Linked DNA regions of Oreochromis niloticus. The protein of the gene in region 1 purifies or fractionates together with the protein of each later gene. This does not show direct contact. Links are inferred from orthologs where the notes say so. Each region holds a gene or a part of one and is shown on either strand. Other genes may lie near its edges. The genes, in order: limk2 and ttc1.

Region 1 (16,835 bases):
CTTGAAGACTGCGCAATGCCTCTATGGCTGCCAAGTCCTTATTCAGTGCTTAATGGGATTCAGGATCACCACCTCAAGATAAGACTCTACAGAGCCAAAGTCCTCAAATTATCCAGTTGGGCTATAATACAGCTTTTGATTACAGTTCAATTTCTTAGGCAGGTCACTTTAAATACTAACAAGTCACGCCGTTAACCACATTAGCTCAGAAACACATCCTGGGGTTTAGGATTTCTGAGTGTCTCTCATTGTATTTCTCCTCCTTCAACAGTCTAACGAAGGCGTCGTAGTAAGAGCTAGCACTACTGTTATAAATAGTGTCGACTGGTGCTCCTGTTATATGACTAGCTGCTAATCGAAACTGATATTTGGCAGAGAGTTAATGCCTGAGACTGAGACAAAATGTTCAGAGTGAAGAATGCTGAAGTTACCAGCAGATTGGGAAGCACCTGCAGGCATTGAGCGCTCCTTGAACAAGCTGCACTGGTTATGCAAAAATGATGGCAGAAGATTTAACTGCCAGGATGAGCCACTTTATGAGAGATCGGATTACTGAAGCCTCTGGAGCCAGTTTTGCCCGACTTTGCAAATCATTCCTCAGGCTTGTTTTTTCCCCTCCACCTTCCACCTCGGTTACACATTCATCTAAAGAAGAATCCTGATGTCTCGGTGATGACATGTAGACAAATGAGTCACAGTGAAAAAGAGACAGCAGCCCAGTCAACTATTTGCATTTGAAAAGGACAGAAAATGTTCACTGCATTGATTTCTCTTGAACTTATGCACAAAAGTAACAGCAGGTGTGAGATAATATACAGGCTGCGTAGAGGAACGGCTATAATATTCAACAGTCAACTACTGTCAGTTTAGAGTGGTTCCCAGCATGATTATTTTGCCAGTTAGGTGAAGAGCATCAGATTCTCGATGAAGACAAAAACATTATTTTAAATGTTTATTGTATGCATTTTTATTCTTTTGGTGATGGCTCCAGACTTCAGCTGAGACCCGCGTATCACGTTGTTCTCTCCACTGTAGGTATAGTTCATCCAGGATTATTGACTTTGGCACAGACTCCAGATATTTTAGAGTTTTCTGGCATTACTTAAGAAGGAGCTGTCCTTTGGAGGAAAGACCACATGTTTGTGTCTGTGCTGCGGAGAGAAAAGTGGAGAATAAGGGAACAGCTGGCTCTGAGGCAGAGAGGACGTGACATGAAACAGATCCATATTTGTGTCCTTTTAAAAAATGTCAGGAAACAAACCTTTTTCCTTTGACATGAAAGCAACATAAAAGAAAAGGACACAAGATACAGCCTGATGTATCACAGTGTGCTGTCAGCTGAGGAGTAACAGAGCAGAATAATTATCCTGAAGTTAAGATTGCATGAGTAATGCTTGCTAAGCTGCTGTGGTCACAACTGCACTAAAAGGCCAAACATCTGATGTCTGGGTGTGACGCAATATTACACAAATTTGCTATTTTCATTAAATGATTAATAACGTTATTAAACATCATTAGGAGTGGGAGAAAATACAGATGCAGCTTTATATTGACTCGTTTCTGCTGCAATACAATTACGGTGCCAACTTTTAATATTTTGCCCGGTCTTAATGAGTCAGTTTCTGCCGCAGCATTCTGATGGTAGAGTCTGACGAGAGGTTATGATAGTTAACTAAAACAAAACCAAAAACTTATACAAGAAGTGAAAAACAATTTAGTTAACTTAAATTAAAAAAAAAATGTACGGAAATGATTTTGTGAACTTGGAAAACTAACTTTTAGAATTTGTTGCGTTGTTAAAATTTTTTATTGCTAGTTGCCCGATGGAGTCAGGTGCCTTCAGCTTTAGAAAGGTTTGTTTTAGTAACTGTTTAGAATTTCCTAAAGGTTGCCCCTGACATATTCCTCACAATATACAACACACACAATAATAATTAAAAATTCTTAAGCTAACACTAAAATAATAAAAAAGGAAACTAACATTAAAGCTTTTTCCAGTGAAATAACGCACCATATCACAAAGCTAAAATCATCTCAAACTGGTCTCTTAAACATCACAATGAGTTCATTGTACTCAAATGGCCTCCACAATCTCCACATCTCACTCTGATAGACCACCCTTGGGATGTGGTGGAACGGGAGATTCACATCATGGATGTGCAGCTGAGAAATCTGCAGCAACAGTGTGATGCTATCACATCAGTGTGGATTATAATCTCTGAAGAGTTTTTCCAGGACCTTGATAAATCTATGCCATGAAGACCTAAGGCAGTTATGAAGGCAAAAGCAGGCCCAACCTATTACTGTAAGATGTACCTAATAAAGTGACAAAGTTAAAAAAAAAAATAATAATAATACATACAAGCCACTATACACATTTGATTATTGTAGAACCGAGACATTGCTGTCAGCCTCAAATATTCAGTATTTGTTAAACTGTAGCACAGACAAGTAATGTCAGCACAGCATCAACAACGGCTGGAGGTATCAACACTCTCATTGTCCCTTTAGCTAGATACAATATTTACGAATAAGACAAAAAAAGGTGCAATTCTTCAAAAATACTGCATGTACAACATACTGTGTGTCTAAGTGGAGGAGAACAAACAAACATACAAAGAACTATTAAAAAACTTGTTCTGAACAAAAAAGCATTCATATACAAAATAACCTCATAAAATATAAGTGTTGTACATTTTTTTCCTTTTACCATCTACATTAAGTGATACAAGTGTGCTTATAAAAACACCTAACTTCCTTGTATATATGGTGCTGAACGGGCGTGTGCACTTAACTCACGTGGTCATGTTGGCTGCACAAACACTACAAAGTAAACATTACTCGTTTCCTTAATATGCATTGCCGTTGGAGTCCTTTGTTAAAGTGTGGCTACAGTAATGACAGAAATAGATACTGAGATGATCTTTTACATGTGGCCTTGAAAGCCTGACAAAGGCGTATTTCACTGTGTGCAACAGCATCAGCACCAACAAGTTCACCACAGATCCTTTAAGTCCTCAAAGTTGTGAAACTGGGCCTCCAGCAGACCCGTTTATCTTGGACACACCCCACAACTGCTCGGCTGGCTCACGATATGGAGAATTTGGAGGCCAAGTCAACACCTTCAACTTTTTATTATGCCAATAGAGGACACAGCCATCAGGAAAAACACTTGCAATGAAGCGGTATGCTACTTTTACCTAAGTAAACTCCACAAGAAGGACATAAGACTTTCCACATTTTCCTCTACAGCCTCCACTGGCTGGGCTTCTTCCAACAGCGCATCTTGATGTAATGTCTTCACAGGTAGGCTAAATGAGGCGCAAACATCCACTCATCCACATCTTCTAAATAATGCGTATGTGCACCCGGTGGTCTGTAGAGGTGTACGGAGGTTAGCATGGACAAAAGCAGCAGTGTTTTGGCACCCCTCTATGATAGCCAGCATTAAGGTCAGATAGACAGGTAGACCTTTGCTTCCCACATCTTTGGTAGGTATGAAAACTACTTTGGAAAGGCACCAATCCAGTTATCAGACCATGACTGATCCTAAATGTTGGGCCATTTTGCTGTTTGCAACACTCAACTTCAAGATATGCCTTTAAGACTTACTGCCTTTAATATCAACCTAAAATGTTCAGATTATGAAAAACGTTAAATAAGCACCAAAAGTGTAAAAAAAAAAAGAAAAAGAAAAAGAAAAAAAAAGGCTTTTTTTTTGGTTTGTTTTCCTTGAAAGTAAAACAATTATTTAATTTCACTGAGTCTAAAATGCACATGTAAGTAAGAGGCAACACCAAAATGTAAATGAAGACATAAAAGAAAAATAGTAGTGTTGTTCAAATCTAGCTCCGGATTCTATTTTTGGTTACACAACTCTCCCCAGCATGGGAAAGACTCTATTTTTAACCACAGAAAAATGCAATAAGATCTGCAGTTATGCAGGTGGAAAGCCGTGAAGAAGATAGGAAATAGTTTTGTCTAAAAAAAAAAAAAAAACCCCCAAAAAACCCCAACAACACAAAGGCTTCTGTAGTGTTTGAGACAGAGCTCACATCTCTGATTCGCTGTCTAGGAATGCAGAATGCTGCAGAGCTGAACGTGCCATTACCTATAGGCCTGAATAACACTGCCAGGTTTACTGGAACAAGAGTGACGCCGCCTCACAAGAATGTTACACGAGGTGGAGGTATACGGAGGGCAGAGGGGCAGCATGTTGACAATAGAGAATGGGAACACCACAGGGTATCACATCTGCAAGGACATTTTTATTTTTGGTTGCTTAACGAGTTATGTCTTGCAAACAATTTTAGCGACGATGGCGTCAGCTTACAATGGTGCTTAGGAAAAAAACCCCAAAAAAACAAAACACCCATGCAAAACATTTCATATATGCAGAAACTTTAAAGAAAGGAAGTTATTACACAAAGAAATAACCAGGAATTCCAAAAATGTGAAAAGGTATAAAAGAACAAAGGGAGTGAGAGGATCAAGGGTGAGTAATGCAGCTGCGTCAGGAACCTTGCTGCTGAGATAAATAGGCTTTGTGTTATTGAGAAGTGTGTTTTAAAAGAGTGAAATCAAAGGTTGTCCAAGGACACTGCCACATACTGGCTTAAGAGTCTCTTTTTTTTTTTTCCAGCTGTAAGATTCATTTAACCTAGAAAATATTAAATGTGTTTTCTAATTTTAGTGCCAGAGGAACCCTGATCCACTCCCAAACACCAAACACATTTTTGGGTGTACTTGTGTGTGTTAGGTGTGCCTTCTTAGTCAGAGATAGAGAGAGAGAGTGAGAAAAAAAATCTCTAATAATCAATATTTCACAGATTCAGGCAGTCAGCTTTTGGTGATCAGTTTTAAAATGTTAGGAAAATACAACCCAGCAAATGCAACTGTGACCCTGCAGTAAGCTGAAGTACCACATGCCATTTCTGTTAAACAGCCTGAGTTATCTTATTTAACATGGGAAAAAAAAAAAAAAAAAAACCTTCAACTGATCTCCATGGGGAAAAACCCTCTGGGTGTTATATAATATTGGCATGTGCAGTGTGTTGGCATCAAACTGCAGGTTTACTGCTGCACACAAAAATATGGTCAGTGACCTGTACGAGCCAGAGAGCTGGTATCATCTCCACGGTGGCAATCATTAAGCTTAAGAGCAGAAGGGGCAAAGTTCTCCTGGGGAGGAGATCTGTCAGCTGGGACTGGGGGCAGGAATCACATCCTACAGAGTGCATTTTGTGCACAAAAACAATGGTGAACAGCTGAAAACAGACAAGAGTCTGTGTTTAGGAGACAGAACAGAAACTTCTGGGATTATCCACAGGTCCATTTGTAAGTACATCCAAACAGAGTAAACTACAAACACACACACAAAATCAATCACACAAACAACTGTCTGTGTCAGCGCGAGCTAACACCTCCTCCTTATACACAAACAAAGTCTCCAGTCATCGGAGTATGAGTGACAAAACTGTGCTCATTACAGTAATGAGGGTACTTAAAATCACGATCTGCAGCCACTTACTTGAAGCAGGCGTTGTGCCAGGTGTCCTGGAGGACTTTCATTTCAAACGAGTCTTGAATTTTTCCTCTACAGCCCACACAGTAACACTTATCTGCAAAGAAAGAAACGAGCCTCCCCTGTAAATAGGTGTAGCGCAGAAACCTCATGTGAAAATTGCAATACTGGTTTAACTGGGATCTGAATTTGAGCGAGCAAACAGACGCGCCGCTGCGCTCGGTCTCCAAAAAGCTCCGTTTTAATAGGTAAAAACATTGCGTGAGCTGAGCGCTTCAGACAGAGAGATGATGCTCTTTTACACCCCAGCGATGTAGCATCACTTCAGTGTAAAGGTACAGTGTGAAATACCACTTTACCTCCTGGTTCCTCCATCTACTCCGCGAGAGTGTCGTCGATATTCAAGTCCCTTTTTTGTTTTTTCACTAACTCCTCATACTGAAGAGGAGAGCTGTCATGAGCCGCTTCACGTTTTCGTTCCTCCCCGTCCGAGATTCCCACCTCTCTAAATACAGCAGGAAGAAAACACAAACGCCTTTTAATCCTCCACAGAGAGAGAAAGAAAACTGAGCTGAGACCTCCTGGACGGAGCTGCTCTCTCGCCGCTGGCAGGATGACTGACGTAATGCAGTGCTCACATTCCTGTACGGAGAGCGGAAAGGCCCAACCTCCGCACCTGGAAGAAGGAGAAAACTGAGATTTGGCCCCAAACGCGAAAGGAAAAACAGTGGCGCCATCTACTGCCAATATCACCGCACTACACAACGATTCACTATGTGGTTGCTAGGCTTTAGTGGATAGAAATGAAACGTTATTGTATGTTACTGTCGTGACATAAAAACGATGGGATGCTTTCAAAGTGTTGACGTCATAATATATTAAGGATAATATAATCATCAGATCTTATTGCATTCTTAAAGCAATATAGTAAGTACAGTACAATAAGACACAATAAGTGTCTTTCCTGAAGTTCTACAGTTGTATCAAAGGATCAAAATCTCTGTTTTAAAATTTCATTTAATTTTTTTTTAAAATTCTATAAAAGATAAATGACTGCTATATCAATCAGGTATTGTTTGCTTTACAATTTGTCTTTTGCACTTTTGCTATTTGAATGAACAAGGAACAAATCAGCATTTAAAGTGCTTCTAAATTGTTTTATTTCTGTTATATAGCCAAGGCTCACTGATAATACTGGGCTGGGCAAAACAATAATTTCACTGCATCTGAAATCAGTAGGCATCATCTCTTTAAACCCATTTCAACGCAGGCAGAATAGCAATGAATGTTATTTACTGAAAGGGTATTACACCTAATGAGAAGATTTAATCACAGAGTGCACGTGTTGTTTCTTTGCTTTTCTCTGCTCCATGCAGAATAATATTTCTTTTTTAATTTACACCTCCAAATTCAGAAGACGGTGCGTTTAAGCGGTTTTTACAATAACATGATTCATGGCTCATGGTTGACCTTTAGGCGATTGAATTTAAAGAGTTAGTTTCCCTTTAAATCACATATGAGGTTTAGTTTCAAAACATTCAACACAAATGCTGGTATGTACTGAGATTTTAAAAATGTATACAGCTTTGTTTATTGAAAAAAAATTGTGGCTTATTCACTGTCACATCCGTCAGTATTAGCACAGTGCTGTGCAATCTCATGCCACCCCTCATTTCATTATGTCATGCTTGGAAAATGGGGAATAGGTGTAGTGATTTATTGAAACACGTGCAAATATATATGGAAATATAAGCAAAAAACGGTTTGCGCAGTTCAACAAGCTTGATGTCCACATTTATTCTTCAACACAGCCTGGACTCTCTCAGTCAAGCTTTCTTGTTATTTTTAAGTAGTCTTCAGAAATAGCACTGCACTACAGTACAGTACAGTCACACTGATTTTTTGTGCTTGTTTCTTTATTTTCTTATGTTATTTTAACATGTCGAAATAAAGCCCCACAACGCTGGGAAAACTGTAGAACTGTGTCTTCAATCTTCAGTTTACGTAAAAGGGCCAATATACAGGCAGGAACATGAATGCGTCATGAGTTCCTCAGTTTCACCGACTGTGGCTGAAACATTAATTTCCTGTTTTGCAGCGTGGGACATGGTTCAATATTTGTGTGGCATATTAATGATAATGGGGCTATTGTTAACAGTGCATTAAAGTAATGGAGAAAAACTGAGATAAGGTAGAATAAACCGAGAGTCGAGAGTTTACAGTAGACAGGACGATACTCACGATAAGCTTATTATTAAGTCTTTGGCTCTTGATTTTAGAATGCAGTTGCGTGAAAGCCCATTCATTGTTATTTAAACAAGGGAAAGATTATATTTGGCAGTATTTGTTGTTACACTGTAATAGTCATGATTGACCTTACAATGAAGCTCCCATACACATCCTGACACAACACTAATATTAAGCCACTTCTGTTTGGGGGGTTACCGCAGTTCTACCTTCTACCTCCCTGACTTGTATAAGTCGCTGCGTTAGTTTTTATTCAGAGGGACTAATTGCCAGCTTGTGAACTAGGTTTGTTGCTATGGACTGAAGTATATTTCCGTTGGTTTATTAAAAAGTGGCCAGCAGGGGGCGGTAATTAAAAAGCAGATGTTCTTGTATCGAAAAATAGGCGCAAGCTACACTTCAGGTCTTCCTTCTGTGTCTGTCGGTTCTGTAACAAGAAATAAATGACATAATAAACTAGGTTTAAATCTGCTGTGTAAACACGCAATGTAACATATTTAGACACGAACTTCTCTTTTTGCCAGTGAACTTAAACATAATGCAGACGCAAGTTTTAATTCATGCCTGCTTTTCAGACGCAAGATATGAAAGACCTTGCCTTCATATCTTGGGCTGCTCTTCACCAGAAAAGTGAAAACGTGAAGGAAAGAGAAAACATGACCAGATAAAATGTTAACCTCTTCTTCCACACCTCAAGCCTCATCTCCTGCACTGAAGTCAGGGCTCTGACCCATGAAAATGTATGAACATTATTATTTTTTCCTAATTGATTTCTTCTTATTTATTTACTCCTTTCACAAAGCTTTGCAGTCTACTAACAGCCGAGGTAAACAGGGGACTGACAGCTTACATTCAGCACAGATAGCCATCAAAAATTATGTATTTGAACTGTGAGGGTTAAGAAAACAGAACTCAGCTGACTGCAGTCTGCAATCTACTGAAATCTAGTGATGACATTTTTTACACTGCAACTTTAAAATCAACAAATAACCCAAACGCAACAAGGAGGCCTCTATATAATGTGTGGTGCTACCCTGTAGTTCTTGCCTGCTGTCCATCAAAACAATGCAACGAAAAAGCAAAGCAATGCAATGCCTAAACTGTGCAAATCATATGAACTTCCTCTAATGTCAAAATTTACAAGGTAATAAACAGGAATGAAACCATCTGATGAGGCCATTCTAAGAAAAACTGACATTTTGCAAAGTTGGACAAAGCTAGGTTGTCAGAAAGACAATATAAGCAGTTAAGCACATGAAAAGCAAGCCTTGGATTTGCTTACTGGTTACCAACGTGCATGTTTGCGTACATGCACACACACACATACACATACAAAAGCACACTGTCATCTTTGAGGAATAAATGAATGCCACAGTCCTTCAGTGCTCTCTTTCCACTCCCTTTTCCCAACAACCACCAACAGTCTCCTCGTGCAAGCAGGGAGCATTCTGATTGGCTGCTACTTGACAGCTAAATTAGTCTTCAGGTTCAGGTATAGAAGGGTGCGGTTCAAACCAGCTTATGGCATACGTTTACTAACTTGCTTTTAAGCAATAAAACTCTGCACACACCCATCCAATATAGATCTTGCAAAAAAGAGCAGTAAGGATCATAAATAAAACCACTTTAAGAGAACCTTCAAACCAACTTTGTATTTATTTAAATACTTTCACATTTAAAGATTTGGTTGATCTGATGATCGGAACTCCACAAATAATGTGTAAAGCAACAGACAAATCTTTGCCCCAAAACACTCAGAACTTTTTCCAATGTCAAGAGATTTATTCTAAAGACACTTCTTCAGCTAAGAGTCTAAGAGGAGAAACACACACAGACGCTGCAGCATTTACTTGTATACAAGGGCGATCACAGAACGCTCACACCAGAGTGGGGGCCCTGTGATGCGCGCTCTGTTCTTGCACGTGTCTTTATTTATACATAAGAAAAATGAATACATTTGACGTGAGCATGTGCGTATGTGTGTGTGTGTGTGTGTGTGTGTGCGCGTATGTGTGTGTGTGTGGGAGGTCAGAACTGCTTGTTTGACTTCTTCCTATCGCTGTGAGAAGACTCAGATACAAATATCAGAACATGTTTTATAAAGAACAATCAGTCCTGAACAATGAAAAGAACAACCAGTTCTAAGCAAGGAAATGATCATCATGCAGCATTCTATCACAAGCAAACTTATATCATTAAAAGCTTATACTGACTAAAACATACAATTTTCTATTGACGTTCCCTCCTGTTGTCAGTATAACCTTTAAGTGAGATATCAGTATGTAACATCTTGTTGTACATTTTCTGTCACATCATCATTAATCACACAAAGTCTTCACATTCCAACAGGTCGGGGTCATCACCATCATCATTTGTCACGGCAATGTATGCAGCTACAGTGGAAATGATTATGCGGTTAATCATGAGTTTTAGACATGGCAGGATACATGTTACAAAACACAAAATAAAAGTAAAAATACTCCAGCTCCGATGAGTAAGATAAGATAAGATAAAACTGTATTAATCCTATTAACTGTAAAATTCGGTTTCCAAATAGCACAGCACCGACAGAAGCTACAGAATGTGAGCAGAATACTATAAATACAGAGACATATATATAAATAAGAGTATACAAAAGGTAGAAATAGAATAAATACAAATACAAGGGAATTGCAAGTATTTCAAGTATTGAAGTCTACTGCACCGTTGGTTATTAACAAAAAGTATTGCACAGTGAAAAGGCAGTAGTAGTCTTTTTAGCACCTGTAGCCAGGAGCCAGTGTAAAGCCAAGAAAACCAGTCACTTGTATTACTCACGTCCTGATTTTGGGCCTGCTGGATCTGTCTCAAGGCGTTCGGGGTGTCAGTCATGTTTGATGAGTGTACATTGTCTGGTATGTAAGTGCAGCAGGTGTTGTTGAAGAGGACGCAAAGTCCCCCTTTCTCTGCCAGTATCATGTCCAAAGCTACTTGATGTTGCATCACTGCGATCTGTAATGCATTGATTTCCTGATCTTGCTGTTCGTTGATCTTGCATGAAGCGTTCAAGAAGAGTCCAAAGCGGTAGTCCAGAGTTTCGATCCTCAGCATGTTTTTTTCCGGTTCCCACCCAGGGAACAATGTGTGGAGTACTTTCTGTCCGGTAGTCCACAGTTTGAATTCCTCAGGTACGTTGCTTCGGGTCATGTGGTTGAAGTTTAGGGAACGTAGATCTTCTTTTCCGGCGTGCTGTAGAAGTGATGTTTACTGCGGTCATCCTGAAAGTGTGGTCTGACAGGAATATAGGAGCACATGTTCCTGTCCAGCCTGGGGGCAGTATGAAATATGCCCGTTGTCCACATAGCTAGGCCATTCCTTGCACCCAGTACGTGCCGTTAGAAGGTCCACTCATATTCACAGGGGCGCCCTCTCCGTGGACTGCAGTTTGGACGCAGTTTGTCGTGTTTCCAACGGGTGTGTTACCTTTCTCTTGTTGATAACACATGGAGTGGTTCTTCCCTGGGAGTTGGTCCAGAAACACTGGGAAGTGGATGGATGTATTCCGGTTTGTCACGTTGAAATTGATCCAGAAGAGTTGATCACATGTTCCATTACTAAGTCCAACAGCATGTGGGATTGTGTCGTTGGTGATGATTCAACTGTGTTGGAATCCAATGCCAGCGAAGCTGGCTGCACACTTTGCTTGAGTGTTGTTCATATATTCACCATATAGTGTGGGGTGTGTTGATGTGCTGGGCATATGAGAACAGACATAACAGTCTGTATTTGCCGATTCCGCCTTGGTCCTGTCGTGGATATAACGGTATCAGGCATTGTTCATCCAAGGGTGGATGTGGTCTTGCGTCATGTCTCTTAGGTGCGAGTTGTCGTGCGTCCATCTTTTCTGTCTGCCTCGTGGTTCAGCTGTTGTTGGCGTCAGCTGGGGTCCTGTAAGGGTGAGCGTCGTAGTCAAGGTAACCAAGAGGGTCCACCTTCCCATGGTTGTACACACCTGCACCTGGCTGCCCTAAAGTTGATCGGATGGAGATTGGAGTGCGGGCTTACCCTACGGGGGCCCAATCAGCACTGCCCCCCCTCACCCCCGAAGCAACCAAGCGCGAGTGAGACTTTCCTTTACTAGTTGATTTCTGTGGAAGAAGTGGAATCCTCGGGGACCTCAACTTTTTTGCAGTGGCTCTGATGTATCCAGGAGGGTCTCTCCGCTATTTTGCAGGCACTTGGTATGGACCCTCCCACCGTGGCGAGCTCCAATTTTTTCTTTGGAGTACTCGGACAAGGATCCAATCACCTGGCTTCAACCTGCAAGAAATAGGTGAAGAACAGTCTTGCGGCAGTTTATTGTTCAAAAAAACTTCTCTGTTTGTCAAAATTGTCCGTTTCTAATAAGGACCATTCCTTGGATCACCCCTCCTGATGAGCCATGGCTTAAAACCAAGCAGGTCAAGTGCTTCTATGCACTTAAAGAAAATATCTAAACTAATTATTTTCTTCATCTCATATGTCATTGTACTGAAGTTGAGCAAACCTTAAGCTTGATGCAGACTACTTTTAGCAATTATCCACCTCACATCATAACTGACTGAGGTGCCTCTTCATCTTAATATTATTTCATTATTAACGCTATTATCTCTTTATATAACAGCAATAGTATATTACAATATTTATTTATATTTTATTTGTATCCACCAAGGGTGATGATCTGCAGTTTCACCCTTTCCCAAGCTGGAGACATTTACCTTTTCACACACTTTCCTTGGCTGAACAATGACAAAACCTTAATATACCTTATGCATTTCTCTAATTTATTTAATATGTGTTTGTGTGAATCATTCTGTTCATTCAGGGCATCCCAACTATGTGTCATTGTTAATACCAGTTTACAGGTTGTTATCCTTGCTATCATCAACTTGAATACATTACAGTTAAGTTCTAAATCAATTTAGCCTTTTGTTTATTTTACTTTATTCCTCTTGTATCTATATGTATTCAGTCGGGTCTGTTTCCAGCCCTTTTTAAACTTCTACTTTGATCTTGAATTTTTCACTTGGTGAGGGATTATTATGTTCTTCCTGATCTGAACTATTCTCTTCACCTGAGCTGCTATCCTGTTCTGAGTCACTGTCTTCTTTGTTTGTTAATGCTTTTACTCTTTTTTGCCTGTCGTCCTCTCCATTCCTCTCCCTTTCTTTTGGATTATTCCTGCTCCGGTTTGTTGTTTTTCTAACCAACCCTCATCAGGTGTTAATTTTGCTTGTTTATTCCCCATTTTTAAAGATTTTGCTGGGCCTTCACTGACACGCTTGACTTCAGAGTGGTTTACTGATACGGCCTTCGACTTGACCCTAAAGGTCAAGCGGTATCCGTTTTATGAGACGAAGCTCAACCGTTCTCATCTGTCACCAGTACGTGAGCCTCAAGCAAACAACAAAATAAAATAGAAGTAGTTCAGCAGCGTATTGTGCTGTAAAATCAACTTACTTCTAGACACATACACACATAGACATTTGCGCGCCTTTACAATTTGTTATGAAGTAATTACGGCTACTTCTAAAACCTAAGTCTAATTCGGTTCATTTTGGCGAATCCTAACCAAAACAGTGTTTCTCTCACCCTCAGACGTCTCACTGGTGGTTCGGATCGCCAGACTGAATCCCACCGCCGTGGACCAGACTGAAAACACCGGCCTGCCCGAATTTTAGCATCCCAGGTCTTTCGGCTTCGTCTAAGAGGGCTGTGCACAGACTTCGGTGCTGGCTTCCCACAGCGTCAGGAATCAGTGCTGGATCCTGGAACAGAGTCACAGATAACAGTTCTGATGTTTCTGCCCCGGCTTCGAAGGACCAAAATAAATGTCAAGAGTGTCTTGATGCATTCTCAATCATCCAGGAAAGTAAATCTCCAAAAGTTGAATCTGTTCAACAGATTCAACTTTTAAATGTCAAGAGATTTATTCTAAAGACACTTCTTCAGCTAAGAGTCTAAGAGGAGAAACACACACAGACGCTGCAGCATTTACTTGTATACAAGGGCGATCACAGAACGCTCACACCAGAGTGGGGGCCCTGTGATGCGCGCTCTGTTCTTGCACGTGTCTTTATTTATACATAAGAAAAATGAATACATTTGACGTGAGCATGTGCGTATGTGTGTGTGTGTGTGCGTATGTGTGTGTGTGTGTGCGTATGTGTGTGTGTGTGTGTGGGAGGTCAGAACTGCTTGTTTGACTTCTTCCTATCGCTGTGAGAAGACTCAGATACAAATATCAGAACATGTTTTATAAAGAACAATCAGTCCTGAACAATGAAAAGAACAACCAGTTCTAAGCAAGGAAATGATCATCATGCAGCATTCTATCGCAAGCAAACTTATATCATTAAAAGCTTATACTGACTAAAACATACAATTTTCTATTGACATCCAAATAAGACCAAATCATCATGACCTGACAATTAAGGATTAATATCACAGTTAGAGTTAGTGTGTAGAACAACTGTATAGACGAAGTTGTTTTTTTTTTAAGTAAGCAAACACATAACTTCACACCTCAGTTTAAAAATAATATAGTTGTATCGCTGTATTTTATGAAGCCTTGTCTTAATTTGGTTGATCAAGGCGAGAGTAAATCAGTTTCACTCAGTTCTATTTTTTTCTTGTGAAAAGGAGTAAGTAACGGGGAGTATTCAACTTTTGCCTATAGGTAGTATGTCAATTTAGGGTCTTTTCATATTGTCGCGCATGGAGTCTGATTCAAGTTATACAATAAAGATGTATTTTATATTTATTTACAACAAAAACAAAAACAGCAACAATAATAGATTTATTTATTTGTTTGTTTGTTTTTCTTTTCCTTGATTGATGGTTCCTTGCAGTGGCTAGAGTAATCCCTCTTTATGAGTTTTCCGCTATGCCAGTGAAGGAAACTGGTCTACATGGTAAATATTACAACGAACAAAGCCAGTGATCTATTCATATGATTCAAACTCGCATCAGGCCAGTAAAGCGGAGCGGGAGCAGGAATGGAGTTAACGGGTTCCTTTCAAGATAAAAGAGGGATGCAAGACGATCTACCACTGTCTGGGCTAGTGTACTCCACGTGGGTCACAGCTTGTTCTTTTCCCCCTGTTTAAAATCTTCTCCTCATTTGATGTGGGATATTTTGAATCACATTCATATTTATTTTGTGCTGAAACCAGCCAGAAGACTTAGTTAATGGTTCTTTTTATGTGTCTGTCAATTATGAAAAGGGTGCGATTCGGACAGAAGGAAAGTTTGTTAATTGAGGGGTTTGTTAATTGTCCCTCGGGGATAAATAAAGTCTTCTGATTTTATTTTGGAAATAAAGGGAACGGGCCAATCCAAAACACCCACGCTTGTTTGACAGTAGCCGGAACACCGGCAAAAGGGTGAAAAGGCAGGCTTACACAAGAAGGAGTGGGCTTTGCCTTGATATGACACCGGGCTGGGTTGTATAGGATGTCGTTGCTGTCTTGGTAGCGCATATCATCCCCTTTTATCCTCAGACATCTTTGGTTCAGACCCTCTAGAAGTTCATTTTTCTCTTCTCTTTACATCACTCTACCAAATCTAGTCAACTTATTTGTTGTGCCAAATTAAAGCGCGAATCATCTTGATTTAATAAAACCCTCTTTACCTTCATCACTAAGCTACAATGGATTTCGGTGTGGGGAACTTAGGGGAAACCTCTGATAGCAGGGGATCAGGTACGGCAGATCTCAAAGGCATCGCCGAGATGCCCGCAGACGCAGAGGCTCAGAGACCCACATGGAGCGGGCGGCTGGAGTTCATCCTGGCCACGGTGGGTTACGCCGTGGGACTCGGTAATGTCTGGAGATTCCCGTACCTGTGCTACAACAGCGGTGGAGGTAAGAGTGCTGAAGACACGGAAAACGAAGCAGACCGTAAACATAGCAGCAGCTACTGTTTTTTATTTTTTATTTTATTAGGCTTCTGCATGGAGTGAAAAAAATCATCATCATAATTAGCACTGTAGTACTTCTGTGAAACAATGTAACTAATTAATATTTAACCCGGGAATTCGCAAAAGTGTGCTCTGGCTGTTTAAAATACAATATCACTGATTCACAGGTTAACTTAGAGTCAAAATGATTGGTTACCTGCACTCCATCATTTATCATGATTCTTCAGTTATGTAACAGTGACTGTGTAGTCTGTTAAACAGTACATTAACCGTGAGTGGTCAGCAAGGTGTTACTTAGTTATTTACTGATGTGTTTTATGGATATTTTTTTATTTGTTTCAAAATAACTTTTAATATAAAATTGAATGAGAAAATGCAAAGACAATAAAAAGGGTTTAACTCTTAGTGACTTTAATATTTCATACATACTTCAATAAATAAGTAGAAACAGGCATAAACTTAAAAGAAACACATTTTCTGTAAATTTCAGATTTACTTTCTACTTTTAGTTATGTTTTCAGTTATGCTTTTTTTTCATCATTATTTCGTCAATAATGCTCAAATACACTTTGTTCAAACTTTGACAACCGCAATTACACCTCCTGCTTTTTTTCCTCATGCACATATTTGAAAAGTGGCACATACATGTGCGTGGGTTCCTTAAGCACGGTGACAGAAACATTTAAATCTGGGGTTGAAATGACATTGCTCTGGTATAAAATATCATAATCATTTATCATAATAATAAAATATTTGACACCAGCATTTAGGAAATAGAAATTGAGCATCAGCTGTATGCTTTTTGATAATCATCACAAAAAAATTATACAAGCAAATTCTGCCTCTAGTGGAAATTTTACTCTGTTGCATAAATGACTCAGCAAAACAAGCAAGCAAAGGAACAAACAAACAAACACTTACTTCCAAACAGCATAGAAGCTGTCTAGATTTGGTTAAACAGGATATTCAGCAGTTACTTACTAAGTTATTATAAATATATGACTACTATAAAACAATCACTATGAGCTTACTATTGTCATCTGAACATTGACAGTAGTATTTATTTGGAATTTTCTGCAGCTGGTTTATTCAGAAGAGGTGTAAACCTGCTAAATTTTGTTTTCT
Region 2 (16,934 bases), on another chromosome or scaffold:
TTTCACCTGTGAGTGAAACTCAGTGCAGGACCGGATGCTGCGTGTTAATTTAACAATAACAGAAGAGTCCAAAGTGAAGCTCCGCCCCCTGCAGGAATATCTTTTCGTGTAACATCAGTCAGGTTTTAGTGTTAAATAAAAGCCGCGATGTAGTGAGCCTTTCCTCGAACTGCGTCAGCGCCTCTGAGAATTCAGGATGCTGTCCGAGTGTCGTTTACATCCACGGACACACAGCAGGGAGGCGGTTTATGTAAGGCGTGGTTACAGCGGGCGGGAGCCTGCAGAACAGGTGAGGCGATGTGATGCCATACATACGTACACGATTCTTTCTAAACACGACTGAATCCACAGAGGAGCATCCTCATAAAAACAAGCTGAGTTAGACGATGACTGATGGTGTCAAACAGATGGTGCAGGTGATTCCAGCTGTTCCCCCTCACAGCAGGTGTTTGATTTCACTTCCTGACAGCACTCACATGGTCTCAGGCCTGCCCGGAGTCTGTGTGTTCTCCCAGCATCAAACCGGGGACCCTTCACATGTAAGAGTTAAGGTGTTAATCACCACAGTAAGTCTATAAGATCAGCACCAACACGAGTGCTCTTCTTCTACAGAGAAGTGACCTCAGCAGGGCTTTGAGAACACTCTGACCTGGCGCCGTCATGAACACACCACAGTGGTTACCATGGTGACCTGCCTACAAGACAGACAAACTGTAACAGCCCACAGACGTCCTTAGTTTGAGAGCTTTTCAGTGAATTTACATTCATCATGATTTCACCTACACAGTACTCCATCAGCCGGGTTCACTTCCTGTTTCTAAAACTCCGGTAACGTTAACTGGCATTGTAGCTTAAAGACTCATGAATTACACATGAGGCAAACTGGTAACAGTTTGCAAGATGGCGCCGAGTGTCACGGCACGCCGTCTCCCGGTCCCGATATGTTTCTTATTTATGCTCTTAGTGGTGTCCCTGCTAGTTTTAAAAACCCACTCTTTGTTGGTTTATGAGCGACAGATGCTGCTTAACATCCGTGACTCACTACCGAAGTTTCCCAGCATTAACGAGCAATGTGGAGGACTCCCGCCACCGCTGGTGTCGATACCGGAGGAACTGCACCGCTGCGATCCCCCTTGGACTCCTTCGAAGCGAAAGCGCTGGATAAATGGACGTAGGCGTGGAACGCGCTCTGGGAAGCGTGTTCGGGTTAGAGCTCGCATGCGGTGGGCTTTCACCATCGGCGACCCTCGCTGTTTAGGACCTTACTCTGGCCTCAAACAGCGTTGCCTTCTTCCTGTTTACCCGACGTCATCGGAGCATGCTCACCGGATGCTGCTTTATTGGCCGCTACGCCGACGGGATGCGAGGGAAGGTGGAGTGAATATAAATAATCTACAACTGCTGCCTGCCACCACAGATGGACAGAGAATTAATTTAGCTCTCTTAAACACAAGATCGGTATCAAATAAAACTCATGTTCTTCGAGACTTTTTCGATACGTATAAATTGGATATCATGCTCCTAACCGAGACATGGCTGCGCGTTGGGGAAGTGGCACCCTTGTTGGATCTGTGCCCCACTGATGCCAGCTTTTTCAGCTCCCCCAGGCTGTCTGGGAGGGGAGGCGGGGTAGCCTCTATCATCAAAAGCTGTTTTAAATGCAAACAGATACAAAGTCCTGGTGTTTTTACCTCATTTGAGTCCCAACTCCTGATCTTAAACTGTCCTGTGGTTCTAATTATAGTCATCTATCGTCCACCTAAATATAATGATTTGTTTATCTCGGAATTCTCAGACTTCTTGACATGTTTTATTGTTCACTATGAAAGGATTCTTATAGTGGGGGACTTTAATATCCATTTGTGCTGTGAGGATAAACCCCTGGTCAAAGATTTCTTAAATATAATTGACTCCTTGAATTTTACACAACTGATGTCTGGGCCAACACGTATGGGCCACACCCTAGATCTTGTCTTAGGTTATGGACTGAATATATCGATGACTGAAAACTGTCTTCTACCTATTTTAGACCACTCAGCAATTTTATTTGATATTCTAATCCCTAAATCTCCAGCTTTTGAGAGGGGAAAACTGCCCCTCAGATCATCTCGTTTTATTAGCCCTGAGGCATTGCTTGGAGTTAAACTACATCTACCTGAGGTGTTGGACCCCATTTTTACCCAGGGGTTATGTGTGGACTCTTTGACTGTGAACTTAAATAATACACTTCTTGAGCTACTGGATTCTGTCGCTCCCGTGAAGAAGCTAAAATGTCAAAAAAAGAACCCTATGCCTTGGCTAAACGAGGAGCTCTTGAATCTAAGGAGAAATTGTAGAAAGGCAGAGCGTCACTGGAGATCTTCCAGATTAGAAGTATTTCTTCGGGCTTGGAAGGACTCCCTGACTTCTTTCCAATCAGCGATGTCGACAGCGAAAGCAAATTACTTCTCAAATCTTATCATGAGTCATAAACATAATTCAAAACTATTATTTAACACAGTATCACAACTTACAGAGAGCAAGTCAACTCTCTGCTGTTCTAACTTGATGGCTCATGATTTTCTTGTGTTTTTCAGTGATAGGGCGGACACACTTAGGAATCAGATTATTCCTTCCTCAGGTAGTTTGTCAGACTACTCAGATGTCTTGCCTGTTGCTGCTGATAAACTGTTCTCTGATTTTAAGGTCATTTCTCTGTCTGAATTAACCAAGGTTGTAAAAGCAGCTCGTAGTACAACCTGTTCATTGGATCCTTTACCAGCCTGGGCTATAAAAGAACTGTGGTCAGCATTAGGACCCTACATTCTGTTTCTTTTAAATATTTCATTGATGACTGGAGTCTTCCCTGAATGTTATAAATCAGCTGTGGTAGTGCCGATCTTGAAAAAGCCTGGACTAGATGTTGACATGGTTGCAAACTATAGACCCATCTCACATCTGTCTTTCTTGTCTAAAGTCTTTGAAAAAGTGGTTTTTAAGCAGCTCACTGAGCATTTGTCAACAAGCAATCTGTTTGAACCATTTCAGTCTGCTTTTAGACCAAATCACTCCACAGAGACAGCTTTACTAAAAGTGGTGAATGACCTGCTGGTACATGCAGACAATGATCGCACTTCAGTCTTATTACTACTGGACCTAAGTGCCGCATTTGACACTGTTGATCACGGCATTTTATTGGATAGGCTTGAACATTTTATTGGAATTACAGGGAATGTTTTATCATGGCTGAGATCTTACCTGTCTGGGAGGTCTCAGACTGTTAATTTTAATAATGTTCTTTCTGAGACCTGTGTGGTGAGGCATGGGGTCCCTCAGGGCTCTGTGCTTGGACCACTGCTGTTCTCTATGTATCTGTCGCCTCTTGGTGCTCTTTTACGTTCTTTTAAAGTAACCTTTCATTGTTATGCTGACGACCTGCAGCTCTATGTTCCTCTAATAATTGGAAACTGTACTGAAATCTCTAAATTGGAATCTTGTCTATCAGCAATTAAGGGCTGGTTATCGGATAATTTCCTGTGCTTAAATACTGATAAAACAGAGTTGATGGTCATTGGACCGCCTAAATTTCAGCACTCGTCCCAAAATTTTACCCTGAGAATTGATGATAGGGTCATAACTTGTAGAGACAAAGTAAAAAATTTGGGCGTGTGGTTTGACACGGTGCTCTCTTTTGAGTCTCATATAAAAGAAATAACAAAAACCGCCTTTTATCACTTGAGGAACATAGCTAGAATTAGACACGTTTTGTCAAACGATACTGCAGAGATTCTTGTTCATGCATTTGTGTCCTCACGCATTGATTACTGTAATGCTCTTTTCTCAGGGCTACCAAAGAAAAGTTTTAAAGGTCTACAGATGGTGCAAAACGCAGCTGCTCGTATTTTAACATGAACTGGAAAATTCGAATATATTAGCCCTGTTTTATACTCTCTTCATTGGCTACCTTGTCCGGTTCGAGCTGATTTTAAAGTCCTGTTGCTCACTTACAAGGCTTTAAATGGATTAGCACCTTCGTATCTCTCTGACCTTTTACACCGGTATATTCCATCCCGTGCTCTCCGATCTCAGGACTCTGGTCTTTTAAAAGTTCCTAAAGCCAGGAAAAAGAAAATTGGAGAGCGTGCTTTTTCTTTTCGTGCCCCGGTTTTATGGAATAACCTCCCTCAAGATATTAGGCAGGCATGCTCTGTCGAGGTTTTTAAAGCTAAGCTGAAGACACACTTGTTTACCTTATCCTACATGTCTTAACTCTATGGCTTTGAGGTTTTAAATGTTTTCTTCTTTTTATTTTGTTCTTAATTTCTCTTTTTTCTCTGTTCTTAACTTGTACTGTGTCTCCTATCTGTAGTGCTATGTATTACTTTTAAACCTTTTTTTCAAACAGTTGTACAGCACTTTGCTTGAAGGTGCTTTATAAATAAAGTTATTATTATTATCATCATTATTATTATTATTATTATTATTAAATGAAATGGAGAATTCCAGCTTCTTTGGCTTTTAGCTCACATTTTAGATTATAACATTAGACAGAGCTTGCCTGGTTCTGCCTTGTCCCACAGTCAGTGAACTCACCATGGCCGCCTGCCTGGCAGCAACATTGTTTGGGTCTCGCTCCAGCACCTTCTGGTAGTCCTCCAGAGCCTCGTCCAGCTTCTCTGTCTGCTCGTAAAGCTCCGCCCTCCTCAGCAGCGCCCGCAGGTAGTCAGGATCCAGCGCTATTGCTATGGGAACCACAAAGCCAATCAGTCAGTACAATGAATAATCATTACACAGCCGGTGCTACCCAGGAGGGGTGTGATGTCATCACTCACCTCTGCTGCAGTCTGAGATCGCCTGCTCCTTCAGATCCTGACAGAGACACACACTGTTAGTACGCCGCTAACCTGTTAGCACCCAGCTAATGGCATTACTGATAACTGATCATTGCTAACATGCAGTGTTTTGCACATGCTTCAAACCTTTGCTCTCATTGGCCAATCAGGAGGAAATGCCCACCTGCTGAACCTGGTGACTCGAGCAAACTGCAGTCACAACATTAAATGTCCAGCGGCCTAATTTGGGGCTGTGTCAGCTTACCCACGCACAGGGCATCACACAGGAAGTGACACAGAAAGTAGAAACGTTAGGGGGGCGGCTGTGGCTCAGGCGGTAGAGCAGATCAGCTACTGATTGGAAGGTCGGTGGTTCGATTCCTGGCTTCCCCAGTCTGCATGCCAAATATCCTTGGGCAAGATATTAACCCCAAATTGCCCTCCGATGCGTTCATCGGAGTGTGAATGTGTGTGAATGTTTATTAGTTGCACTTGTGTTTAGAAGTGATCGTGGCTCAAGAGTTTGGAGTTCGCCTTGTAATCGGAAGGTTACCGGTTCGAGCCCCGGCTCGGACAGTCTCGGTCGTTGTGTCCTTGGGCAAGACACTTCACCCGTTGCCTACTGGTGGTGGTCAGAGGGCCCGGTGGCGCCAGTGTCCGGCAGCCTCGCCTCTGTCAGTGCGCCCCAGGGTGGCTGTGGCTACAACGTAGCTTGCCATCACCAGTGTGTGAATGGGTGGATGACTGGGTATGTAAAGCGCTTTGGGGTCCTTAGGGACCATAAAGGCGCTATATAAATACAGGCCATTTACCATTTGTATGAGTGCGTGTGAATGAGGCATGTTGTATAGAGCGCTTTGAGTACTCCGGGAGAGTAGAAAAGCGCTATGTAAGAATCAGTCCATTTACCATTTACCCAAGTTTCAGAGGGAAAGGAGCGATGTTTACAGCGTGAGGACGCTTCCTCCTGATTGGATGAGGTGTATCTGTGTGCGGAGCCACAAAGGGACTAACCAACACAAAGCTGTGTTAGAGGTGAAGCAGGTACTCATAGAACCAGACTTCCGTCACACCAAGAGCGCTACATCCTTCATGTTAGCAACGATACCGGCATAGAGCTAGCATGTTTTTAGCATGTTACCAGGTGCAGCCTCGCGGCGGCTCTATTGGAGAACAGCACGGCTCGCTCCCTGCTGAAACAGACGGGGCACACAGACAGCGCATCCGTGTAGCTTCGCCCCGCCTCCGCCCAGTCTGTGGAGACAACAAGCAAACGTTACACACCTGAGCCCAGAGCCCACCTGGCATCTGTACCGCCAGATCACCACAGTTACAGATCAACATGTATGATATCACCATTTCTGAAGACAGCTCAGTTTCCTCATGAGCAACAGTAATAAATAATATTGATTGTTCCAGCAGCTCAGACTGAATGTGATCATGTGATTAAGTCTCTGTCAGTCAGCTGCAAACACAGAGCATATACCTGAACATGTGTTCATCCAATCACATTCATTCACCCTGATCTGATTTCACGTCTCCTTCATCAGGCCGTGGGAGAGGAAACTTTCATGTTTCCATGGATACAGGTTCCATGGATAAAGTCTCACACGCAGGCGGCAGCACTGAGCACGCTCAGACACAAAATCATTCACTGCAATCAAAATTTATTTTCCCGCCACAGATCACCAGATTCTGTTGGTTGGAGTCAGAGGTCGTTCAGGGTCAGAGGTCACACAGACTCTCACCTGTGGTTTAGGCGGTTCATGTTTGTGTGAGATGAGTCACATGATCCATACTGCCCTTTTTAAATTGGTCAGAAGCAGCTCATTTGACCATGTAAGGGAAACCCTGATAGTGTGACCTCTGACCCCTTGCAGTATGCAGGACGAGCTCCACAGTGCTGATCTCACAGACTCACCTCCCCTCTTAAAGTGGGCGTTTCCCGCCTCCTTCAGACTGATGCTCTGCTGCCGTCGACTCTGAAAAAGAAGAACTCTGATTTACCACCGTGTGCCGACACCTAAATGCCTCTAAGTGCAGGTGCCCATCAGCAAGCGTTACCTCCATCTCCTCCTCGGTCAGCTCCTTTTCCACCTCCCTCAGGTAATCATCATCAAACTCTACGGCTGGGCCCACCTCCTCCTTCAGCTCTGAGTCAGAGTCACGCAGGGAGTCTCCATCTTGTTGCTCCTTCACCTCCTCCTCTTCCTTCAGCCCGTCTACCCCCTCCTCCCCCTGCTTCACATCCTCTGTCTCCAGCAGAGCTTTCACCTCCTTCTCATCCTCCTCTTCCTTCAGTCTGTCTCCCCACTCCTCTCCCTGGTGTCCTTCTGCTGCCTCCCTCTCTGTGTCTCCTCGTTTAATCTGTGTGTGTTTAAAATTAACATCCTGCTGGCTCTCCTCTCCTCCTGCAGTGGGGTCAGGAGGCTCCAGCGTGTCCGGACAGTCATAGAAGTCCTCCTCGTGCTCCTCCTCCTCTTCCTCCTCGGCCCTGCTGTGTCTCTGTATGCCTCCTCCGCTCATTCCGAAACTCTGAGATAAAATAAAAATTTAACTAACCGATTAGAGGCCTGACCTTTGACGTCACACAGAGCCAGTGTTAGCCGGCTAGCTGTGACTGAGCTAACAGCTTCAGTTCCTACTCAGCCTCACTCTTCTTCTGTGGTGATCAGCTGATCAGCCACCGCAGGATCAGCGCGTCTGCGTCACTTCCTGCTGATCAGCGGGTATTGAACACTGGTCAGGTTTCTGTTTGTTTACTACGAAGCTATATGCTAACAGCTAAGCTAACGGTCAGCTGGGACTCTACACGCACGTGTCAGCCGCATCCAACATCACGGTTCCGCCTGACGTCATCGAGGTGACGGTCCGTTGCAGATCGATAACCACAGAAACGTTACAATCAGCTGCTTTTCGGTCTCACCTGTAAACACCGGTGAATCTGCGCGACCACGCTCCCTGACGTCACTTCCTAGACGAGGAACGCTTCCGCTTCCATTTTAAAGTGTCCTGTAGGTACCGCTCATTGGCTTGATACTAACCGCGAGAAACGTTACATACAGCTTTGTTTGACAGAAATGAAGGAGAAAAAATGTTTTGTTGGTCATTCATTTTTGTCATGACATCACTTTGATTAGTTGAGTATCTGAGGCTGAGACCACAGGACTGTAAAACATGATAGTTGGGCTTCATTTCTGTACTGAACAGTCATTTTAAGATTGGTAAATAACAATTAGCTAATGTTGTTCGTGAGACTAAAATCATCTCACTGTGGTAATGTAAATATAATATGGCCAATATCATAGTATTGTCAGATTATTATGATATATATATATATATCACCTTAAATCTTCACTCAAAGACAAGTATCTCTGACAGTGTATATACAGATGTATTATATATAAGAGACAAATATTGTTCGTTTAATATGTTGGCATTGTTACATTTGGCTCAATGCTTATATATATGTGTAAAAAGAAAATGTACGAGCTGTGATAACTGTGTCTGATAGAATGAAGATCAGACTGATATATGAAATATTCCTTTATTGGGTGAGAAAATCAGACCATGTCATAACTGCTTTAAGTCATACAGAATAGATATCAGAGCCTTAAACAGGCTGACTTCTGCTAAATGGGTCAAACTGGGCAGAAAGTATACAAACACATAACATCCTTATAGAATATGATGTAACACTATAGATCAACTTAGCTCAGAATATATAAAGCATATAAACAATTACAGCAATATGATGCAACAAACAGAGCAGTACTACTAATCCAAAATACTCAAAGCTTCATAGAACTGAAACAAACATTTATTTTTAGCTCCATTCTGCTGCTGATACATACTTTAGGTTTCTGAATATTAAACTTGTTGCTGCCTTTCATAGTGTGTAACTTGAAGGCCCTGAGTACTTTCTCCCACACTGAAAACACTGGGATGATAGCATTATTTGAACATTACCTAATAAGACTGATTCAGGACAGACAATTAGTTATTTTAAACTTTCCTAGCAGTCCTTCACAAACAGGGAACAGTCTGTCTATTCTCTCCATCTGTCAGCTGCTGCTGGCTCTTCCTCCTCCTCTTCCTCACACACTGCTGAGTTTGTCCCGGTGGATCATCAGGGGTGCAAAGCCTCACAGATGATGTGCAGCAGTGGGTCCCTCAGTCTGTCCTCACTCTGGACACTTGCAGTTGTCACACATGGAAATCAAATGTGTGATAAGCTGCAGGATTCAAACACAAGTGTAACTTATAAATACATGTTCATACTTTTATTCCACAATCAGAGAGAAAGAAAGAGAGAGAGAGTGCAGGACAGACAGGTGACAGTCTCAGGTGTACACACTGCTACAAAACAGCACAAGAGAAGGAGGATTTAGTGTTTGTGTTATTACGAGTGCTAAACAAGAAGAGTTCCAGATGGTCCAGTGGACACATGTGTGACTCCTGTGATTAAAGCATCTTTCTTTCAGCTTAACGAGTGAACCGTCAGCTCGTTCAAACACACGTTAAAGTCCGTTTGGCTCCACACCACCGAACAGAGGCAGCAATATAACATAGCTAACATTAACAGTGCAGTGAATCCTGCTTGTGCCGTCATATTCAGGACTGCAAACTGAGCAGCATCACTGACTTTCAGCTTGTTGTGTTTGTGGATATATGACTGACTTTAACTATCCATAAAATCATCACATTCTCTGTAAGATTAAGGTCGACTATATATATATTTAGAAGTAGAGGCTTTAAAACCAAGTTACCGCTGAAAGTACAAACATCACTAATGTCACATAACTTTCCCGACATGTGGCCAACAGTAATGTTTTAATGTTCTTAAACATTCGCACATAAATAAGTGACATCATATTCAGTACTTACTTTTGATAGTTCACTCTTCGGCCGCTCCCTTCTGCCGTATTTTGCGGCAAAATTATCCACACCCACCGCCGCACTATGGATTGTGGGATATATGGGGCCACGAAGCGTGCACCGGACCACGCTTGATATTTGGGGAAATCGACGGCGCATTTGGAGTATGCATTTGAAGTGCACTTTGAATTGGGACAGCCGTCGTCGCGTGGCGGTGACGTAATCGCACTTAAAATGCGTACTTCAAGCGTGTATACCCTGAATTGGGACCATTGACTGTAGAAAACATGGACGACGCGACTCCGCCTCCTCCCATTGTGCAAAAATGAAGCCAAAATATCCCGCTTGTGGAGGCTGCCATCTTGCAAATTTGGAGCCAGAGTCTGCGCAGTAGTGACTTGAGGTGGAGCGACTGTGTAACGCTCCCGCCCACACACCCGCTGGACATGACCGCAAACACGCCCCCCTACACTTTTTACGTAGATCATGAGTCCTGCTTGATCAATGCGATGAGCTTCAGTCTTCCTGGTGTTTCTTAAATGATGCCTCTCTCAGTGGGTCAACAGAACTTCTAGCACAGGACAGCTGTGATGAAGAAAGAGAAGAAGTTTCTCCAAACCTCTGGACCCAGGAAACCCAGCTTGGTCCTGATGGTCTCCCTCACTAGTTTCTCTCCAGGGTGAATGTAGCTGTTGATATAATATGGACTCTATTATTAAATGAAAAGAACAAATTAGACTACACTACTGAAACGTTCTGCTGATGTTTTTAAAGTCTCCATGTTACCAGGCTGTAGAGGGCTCTGAAGATTTAAACAGTTTTAGATCCATTACACTCACAGTCTTATGTTAAAATCTCAAAGGACAGCATTATATTTTTGATATTAACAGTAACTCTGGGCCTCTGTAGAGTGTGCAGATGATCTCATTGCTGTCTAAAAATGGATTAAAACAAACATAAGAAGTGCTGAATCCTTCAATAACACAGACTATTAAGAGCATTAGGTGTGTCGCATCGCTAACTAGCTAGCAACAAGCCTCCAACACAGTGCGTATGCTAGCGGCTAATCTTACGGCTAATTAACAACAGAGTGATTTTAGAAGTTTAGATGATAAGCTGTGTGTCTTTTTTTATAACAGTGACATGGTTGTACCTTAATTAAAGGAGTCATCAGCTGCGGTAAACCAGGAAAAAAACTCGAGCAGCCGGGCTACGTAAAAAGTGTAGGGGGGCGTGTTTGCGGTCACGTCCAACGGGTGTGTGGGCGGGAGCGTTACACAGTCGCTCCACCTCAAGTCACTACTGCGCAGACTCTGGCTCCAAATTTGCAAGATGGCAGCCTCCACAAGCTGGGTATTTTGGCTTCATTTTTGCACAATGGGAGGAGGCGGAGTCGCGTCGTCCATGTTTTCTACAGTCAATGGTACCGCTCCCTGCCGGAGGAGTAGTTTCTTTTTTTTTTCTTTTTTTTTTTTATATGAACTTTATTTGTCAACAACAGTGTGTGGAAGCAGATTTCATGTCTGTTGTATTTATCACATATCACATTAGCATAGCAAGAGCACTCATGTCACTTAGTTGTATACATGTGCCCTACAAGTGGGCCTTATGCTCTACACACACTGTGAGACGGTGTCCATCCTCAGAAAAACTGTTTGGTGTTTGATCTGAACGTTTTTCTCCACTGTAGTGTTTTTCTTTTCCTTTTTCTTTAATAAACCTCACTTCAAAAGACACGCTCACCTGGTAGTTGCAATTTTATTTAAGAGTTTCCATAACAATTGTAACATATAAGACACCATTACGGAAGCGTAGAGCTTCCACCCAGGCAAAAGAAAAATAGAGCTTTATCACATTATAATGTGAAAACTTTATTGTTCTAACAATATACTTTTCATGTTTAAACAACATAATATCATGTTGTTACAATATACATAATTATCACGTTTGTACAATATAATATTTATATTGTAAGAACGTGAAAGGTTTTTTGTTATAACATGATAATTATGTATATTGTAATAACGTGATATTATGTTGTACAAATAAAAATATCTACCCTTCCATACACCATTACTTATTCATGCATCTAAATATATTCGGTTGAGCATTACAACAAGAGGTAATGAAACATAAAAAACAAGAAAAAAGAAAAGAAAGAAACAAAACAAAAAAGGAAACAGAAAAACAGGCAATGTAGAATTTGAGAACATAGGCACAAACAGTGTGAACAGAAAGGGAAATCATGATCCACATCTCAGATAGATTGGCTCAGTCAAGAAGAACTTGCTTAAAGAAACATAAAATGGGCCCGGGCATTTTGACTAGAGACCCACCAGGTATTATAGGAATAGCCATAAATCCTTTGAATAAAAACGAACACTGTTGTGACAATGATGTACACTCTCTTGTTGGTATATGTATGATTTCTATACATTTTACATCAGATAAAAACTTTGGGTGTAAGATTCAGATAATTATTCATTAAAAGCGAGACATTTTAAATGAGAATAAGAAAGAAAAGTATTTCTTTGTGCCCCCCTTTCCCTGTTAATGCCCTACCTGGCCCCCTGGCAAAACTTTGCTAGACCCGCCCCTGCACAGTTACCAGCTGACAGCTACTTAGAAAAGGATCCTGGTGTTATTTGGCTCTCAGAAACAGTTCATAACTTCCCTTCAACTCATTCGTGTCACCTAAAAGGTAAACCTGTTTCTCCATCACCTGTTCAGCTCTGATGATTCAGTAAGGACATCTCCTGGTTTCATCTGCATGTTTCCCTCTCACCACATATCCAAACCGATATCATGACCAGCAGCTTTACAGCTGTGGCTCCAGCAAACATCAGCTGATACTAGAAATTAATATTAAATAAATTCTAACAACAGCTGATCAACTTTAAATGTGCTGGTGTTGTTTAGCGCGACATCCGCTGGTTTCCTCTTTCTGGCGCAAAGTGGGCGATCAAGCAAGCGAGAGCGGATTTCCTTCAGAAAAGCCGATCAGCTGATCATTGATCAGTTTCATGATTGAAGTAGCAACAGGAGAGGGAGGGGGGAGAATGAGAGGAGAAGAAACAGCTGCAGCGTAACGACAGAATAACTCCAGCTTTGTTTCTTTTTTCCATTCTAGCTGAAGTCCGGGACAAACTTTGTTCCTTTTCAGCTCAATATGAAACGCATAATATTTTCTCTGAATATCGGACGATTCCGTTTTTTAGGGGACGGTTAGCAACTTTACTAACTAACCTTATGAATAAAATAAAGTTCACTATCAGTAACATCACAGCACCCACCCAGCTGTATAGAAACTCCGTCATGCTAGCTAGCACGCAGTACGAGTTATTGTAACTGACTGTAAAAAGTCAGCACAACGAAAATAAACTCCACCTAAACTTGGTTTAAATCTGACCCAGATAGACTGCAGGTCATAACTTCTTACCTGAAGTTCAGTTCACCTGATACTCGGACCGGTGGCTGCCTCGGGTCTCTCCTCCTCCTGCCTCCCCTTTCCCTCATCCACCTGCTGGCCTCTGTGGAAGCTCCGCCACAGCCGCCACCAAGCAACTGAGTTATTTTTACACATCGGTCAGCATCTGGCCAATCCACCACATTTCGTTGTTTATACCGTTACAAAAAGACCCAAAAACCCATCAGGCCATAAAAACGAAAAAGCCATCGGCCCACCGGTGGCCACTCCAGCTATGGTCTGTACGAGGGAAATTTCTTTTGCAGTTTGTCTGAAAAGATGCACTTGCGCTTTGGGATCTTTTAAACATCATTAGGCGCGTTGCTGCACGCTGTGAGTCCGTCAAGCGCTCACAAAACAGCAGTTCGGGGATGACATCTCACACATGGGTCCTCTGTCGGACTATAGGAAAACCTGGACATTTTTATCAATCTCGAAAATCCCCCCGGACGCCCCGGACAGAACGTGCAAAGTGGACATGTCCGGGAAAAAGAGTACGGTTGGTCACCCTAAGCTACAGCAGAGAGTGATATTAGGCCCCTTATGTCAAACTGAGTGATTTATGGCCCCAATAAAACGATTTATGACCCCAGGAAGTAATAAAGGAAGTAATAAAAATATGATATTCATAAAAAATATGATATTAATAATGCCCTAAGTAATGCCATCCAGAGTAAGAATCTGGTTAGATACCATATTTCTAAGATTTTCAGGGCCAAGTACAATAACCTCAGTTTATCTGAATTAAGGAGCAGAAAGTTAGCGGCCATCCAGGTCTTTATGTCTTTAAGACATTCCTGCAGTTTAACTAATTGGTGTGTGTTACCTGGCTTCATGGACAGATAGACCTGCGTGTCATCTGCATAGCAATGAAAATGTATGCTATGTCTTCTAATGATGCTGCCTAAGGGAAGCATGTATAATGTAAATAGAATTGGTCCTAGCACTGAACCCTGTGGAACTCCATAATTGACCTTAGTATGTGAAGAGGACTCTCCATTTACATGCACAAATTGGAGTCTATTAGATAGATATGATACAAACCACTGCAGTACAGCACCTGTAATACCTACAGCATGTTGTAATCGCTCTAATAGGATATTATGGTCAACAGTATCGAACGCAGCACTGAGGTCTAGCAGGACAAGCACAGAGATGAGTCCACTGTCAGAGGCCATAAGAAGATCATTTGTAACCTTCACTAAAGCTGTTTCTGTGCTGTGATGAGCTCCGAAAGAATTTTTTTTGTGAAGAAGTTCATGAAGTCATTACTAGTTAACGTTAAAGGGATGGTTGGCCCAATAGAGCTCTGACTGTTTGTCAGCCTGGCTACAGTGCTGAAGAGAAACCTGGGGTTGTTCTTATTTTCTTCAATCAGTGACGAATAGTAAGATGTTCTGGCTTCGCGGAGGGCTTTCTTATAAAGCAGCAAACTATTTTTCTGGGCTAAATGATGATCTTCTAAATTTGTGACACGCCATTTCCTCTCCAGCTTACGAGTTATCTGCTTTAGGCTAGGTCAGGGGTTGGCAACCCGCGGCTCCGGAGCCGCATGCGGCTCTTTACTCCTTGTACTGCGGCTCCACGTGGTTTGGGAAAATAAATTAGAAGTAATTCGCTGAAGTGCATTTTATTTGTGTTTAGTTCTTTTTTTTTAAACTTGTAGTTCTAAATTGGAAGATTGTTGTGACTTTGAAATATAAAAATAAAATGATATCTTATTATTTTTTTCATCGCTCAAAATAAGCGTCACACTCGCGGAAGCCGGTGTACCCGCCGAAACGCCATGCATTTATCAAGACTTTCAACCCCAGGTAGGCCAATTATGGATCTTCGGATCCACATTATGTCGGCAGCTGTTCTCCACCGTGAACTATGTTAAAAACAAACACCGCTCACGCCTCACAGATGACAGCTTACAGTCCTGCGTAAAGATGAAAGCCCCGATTTGCAGACGCTGTGCACCGAGGTTCAGGACCAGAAGTCTCATTGTAAACAAATCACGGCAGACCCGACGATGTTTGCATGAACATGCTTTTCAGTATCTCTTTATTGACCACTTTTCACACACGGTTGCTGTACGCATACAGCCGGCTGTAGCTTTGCAGCTCACAGCCCGACATACACCACCAACAACACAACAGCACAGATAGCGCAGACATTAAGGCGGCGAGGCGTGATTGCGGGTGCCGCTCAGGTGCGTCCTGGCAGAATTTTGCAAATATCTATTTTTTTTTAGCGGCATAGTGCTTTTTTTCCAATTACTTTTTAAAAGGGTGGCGGCTCACAACAGTTTTTGTTTGCTACATGGATCATTTTAGTTCAGCTGGGTGTCTTTCCTTTTGTTATATTTCTTTAAGAGTTCAAAATGTGTTAATTACATAAATAAAATGTAATTTTCTCCGTAGCACTTCATGGATTTTTTGCTCTGTGGATTCTTTTAAAAAGCAGTTAAAAACTTTTCTGTTCAAACAAGCCTTTTGTTGATCTACGTATTTTATATTCTTTACATTATTTACATTTGATCTTTTACATTGTGTATAATGTCTATTGATTGTATTGTTTATTTTAATATTTGTGTACAGCGCATTGTGACTGCCTGTCTGTGAAAAGTGTTTAATAAATAAACTTTACTTACTTACTTTAGTTGTTCACACAAAGCACAAAAAACAATATATACAGTGTTATCTTCATTTTAGATTTCAAAAAGTATTTGTGGCTCCCAGTGTTTTCTTTTGCGTGGAAACCGGGTCCAAGTGGCTCTTTGGGTGTTAAAGGTTGCAGACCCCTGGGCTAGGTGTTTGAGAATTATACCACGGAGTCAGGTACTTCTTATTTGAGGCCTTAGTTTTCACAGGAGCTACAGTATCCAGAGTCGTACGTAGTGAGGAGGTAAAATTATTAACAAGATAATCGACCTCTGTTGGAGTAGCGTTCAGATAGCTGCTCTGCTCTATGTTGGTACAGGGCATTGAAGATGATAACAGTGGGTGGATTATATTCTTAAACTTAGTTACAGCACTTTCAGAAAGACATCTACTGTGATAAAGTCTACTCTCCACTGCTGTGTAATCAATTATTGTAAATGTGAATGTTATCAGGAAATGATCAGACAGCAGAGGGTTTTCAGGAAACACTGTTAAATGTTCAGTTTCTATGCCATATGTTAAAACAAGATCTAGAGTGTGATTAAAGTGGTGGGTGGGTTCTTTTACATTCTGAGAGAAGCCAATTGAGTCTAATAACAGATTAAATGCCATGTTGAGGCTGTCATTTTTAGCATCTACATGGATGGTAAAATCACCCACAATAATTATTTTATCTGAGCTGAGCACTAAATCAGATAAAAAGTCTGAGAAATCAGAGAGAAACTCTGTATAAGGCCCAGGTGGACGATAGATGATAACAAGTAAGACTGGTTTCTGAGTTTTACAGCTGGGGTGGACGAGGCTAAGCATCAGGCTTTCAAATGAATTAAAAGTCTGTCTTGGTCTTTGGTTGATTAATAGGCTGGTGTGAAAAATTGCTGCCACACCGCCCCCTCGGCCTGTGCTTCGAGGTTTCTGGTAGTTAGAATGACTCGGGGGTGTTGATTCATTTAAACTAACATACTCATCCTGCTGCAACCAGGTTTCTGTAAGGCAGAGTAAATCGATTTGCTGATCAATTATTAAGTCATGTACTAACAGAGACTTGGAGGAGAGAGACCTAATATTTAATAATCCACATTTCACTGTTTTACTCTTTGGTTCAGATGTGGATACTGTATTGTTCTTTCT

The links.
Region 2: the proteins of limk2 (region 1) and ttc1 purify together in Homo sapiens (affinity purification with mass spectrometry; 3 studies listed by BioGRID and IntAct, counting the BioPlex papers as one, with this or other methods). This does not show direct contact. The link is inferred for Oreochromis niloticus from reciprocal best matches to the Homo sapiens genes LIMK2 and TTC1.

The regions. Positions count from the first base shown.
Region 1 is NC_031977.2:18,447,396-18,464,230, reverse strand, and holds the start of limk2 (LIM domain kinase 2), read right to left. Parts: upstream 6,197-16,835; 5' UTR 5,900-6,196; coding exon 5,884-5,899; intron 5,622-5,883; coding exon 5,531-5,621; intron 1-5,530. Other genes in the region: si:ch211-225b11.1 (sodium- and chloride-dependent GABA transporter ine), read left to right, coding at 15,441-15,654. UniProt on the Homo sapiens protein: Serine/threonine-protein kinase that plays an essential role in the regulation of actin filament dynamics. Acts downstream of several Rho family GTPase signal transduction pathways.
Region 2 is NC_031975.2:33,688,348-33,705,281, forward strand, and holds the start of ttc1 (tetratricopeptide repeat protein 1), read right to left. Parts: upstream 7,864-16,934; 5' UTR 7,738-7,863; exon of another isoform or gene 7,347-7,737; 5' UTR 7,338-7,346; coding exon 6,876-7,337; intron 6,794-6,875; coding exon 6,733-6,793; intron 6,066-6,732; coding exon 5,953-6,065; intron 4,849-5,952; coding exon 4,812-4,848; intron 4,722-4,811; coding exon 4,573-4,721; intron 4,091-4,572; coding exon of another isoform or gene 3,980-4,090; exon of another isoform or gene 3,565-3,979; intron 1-3,564.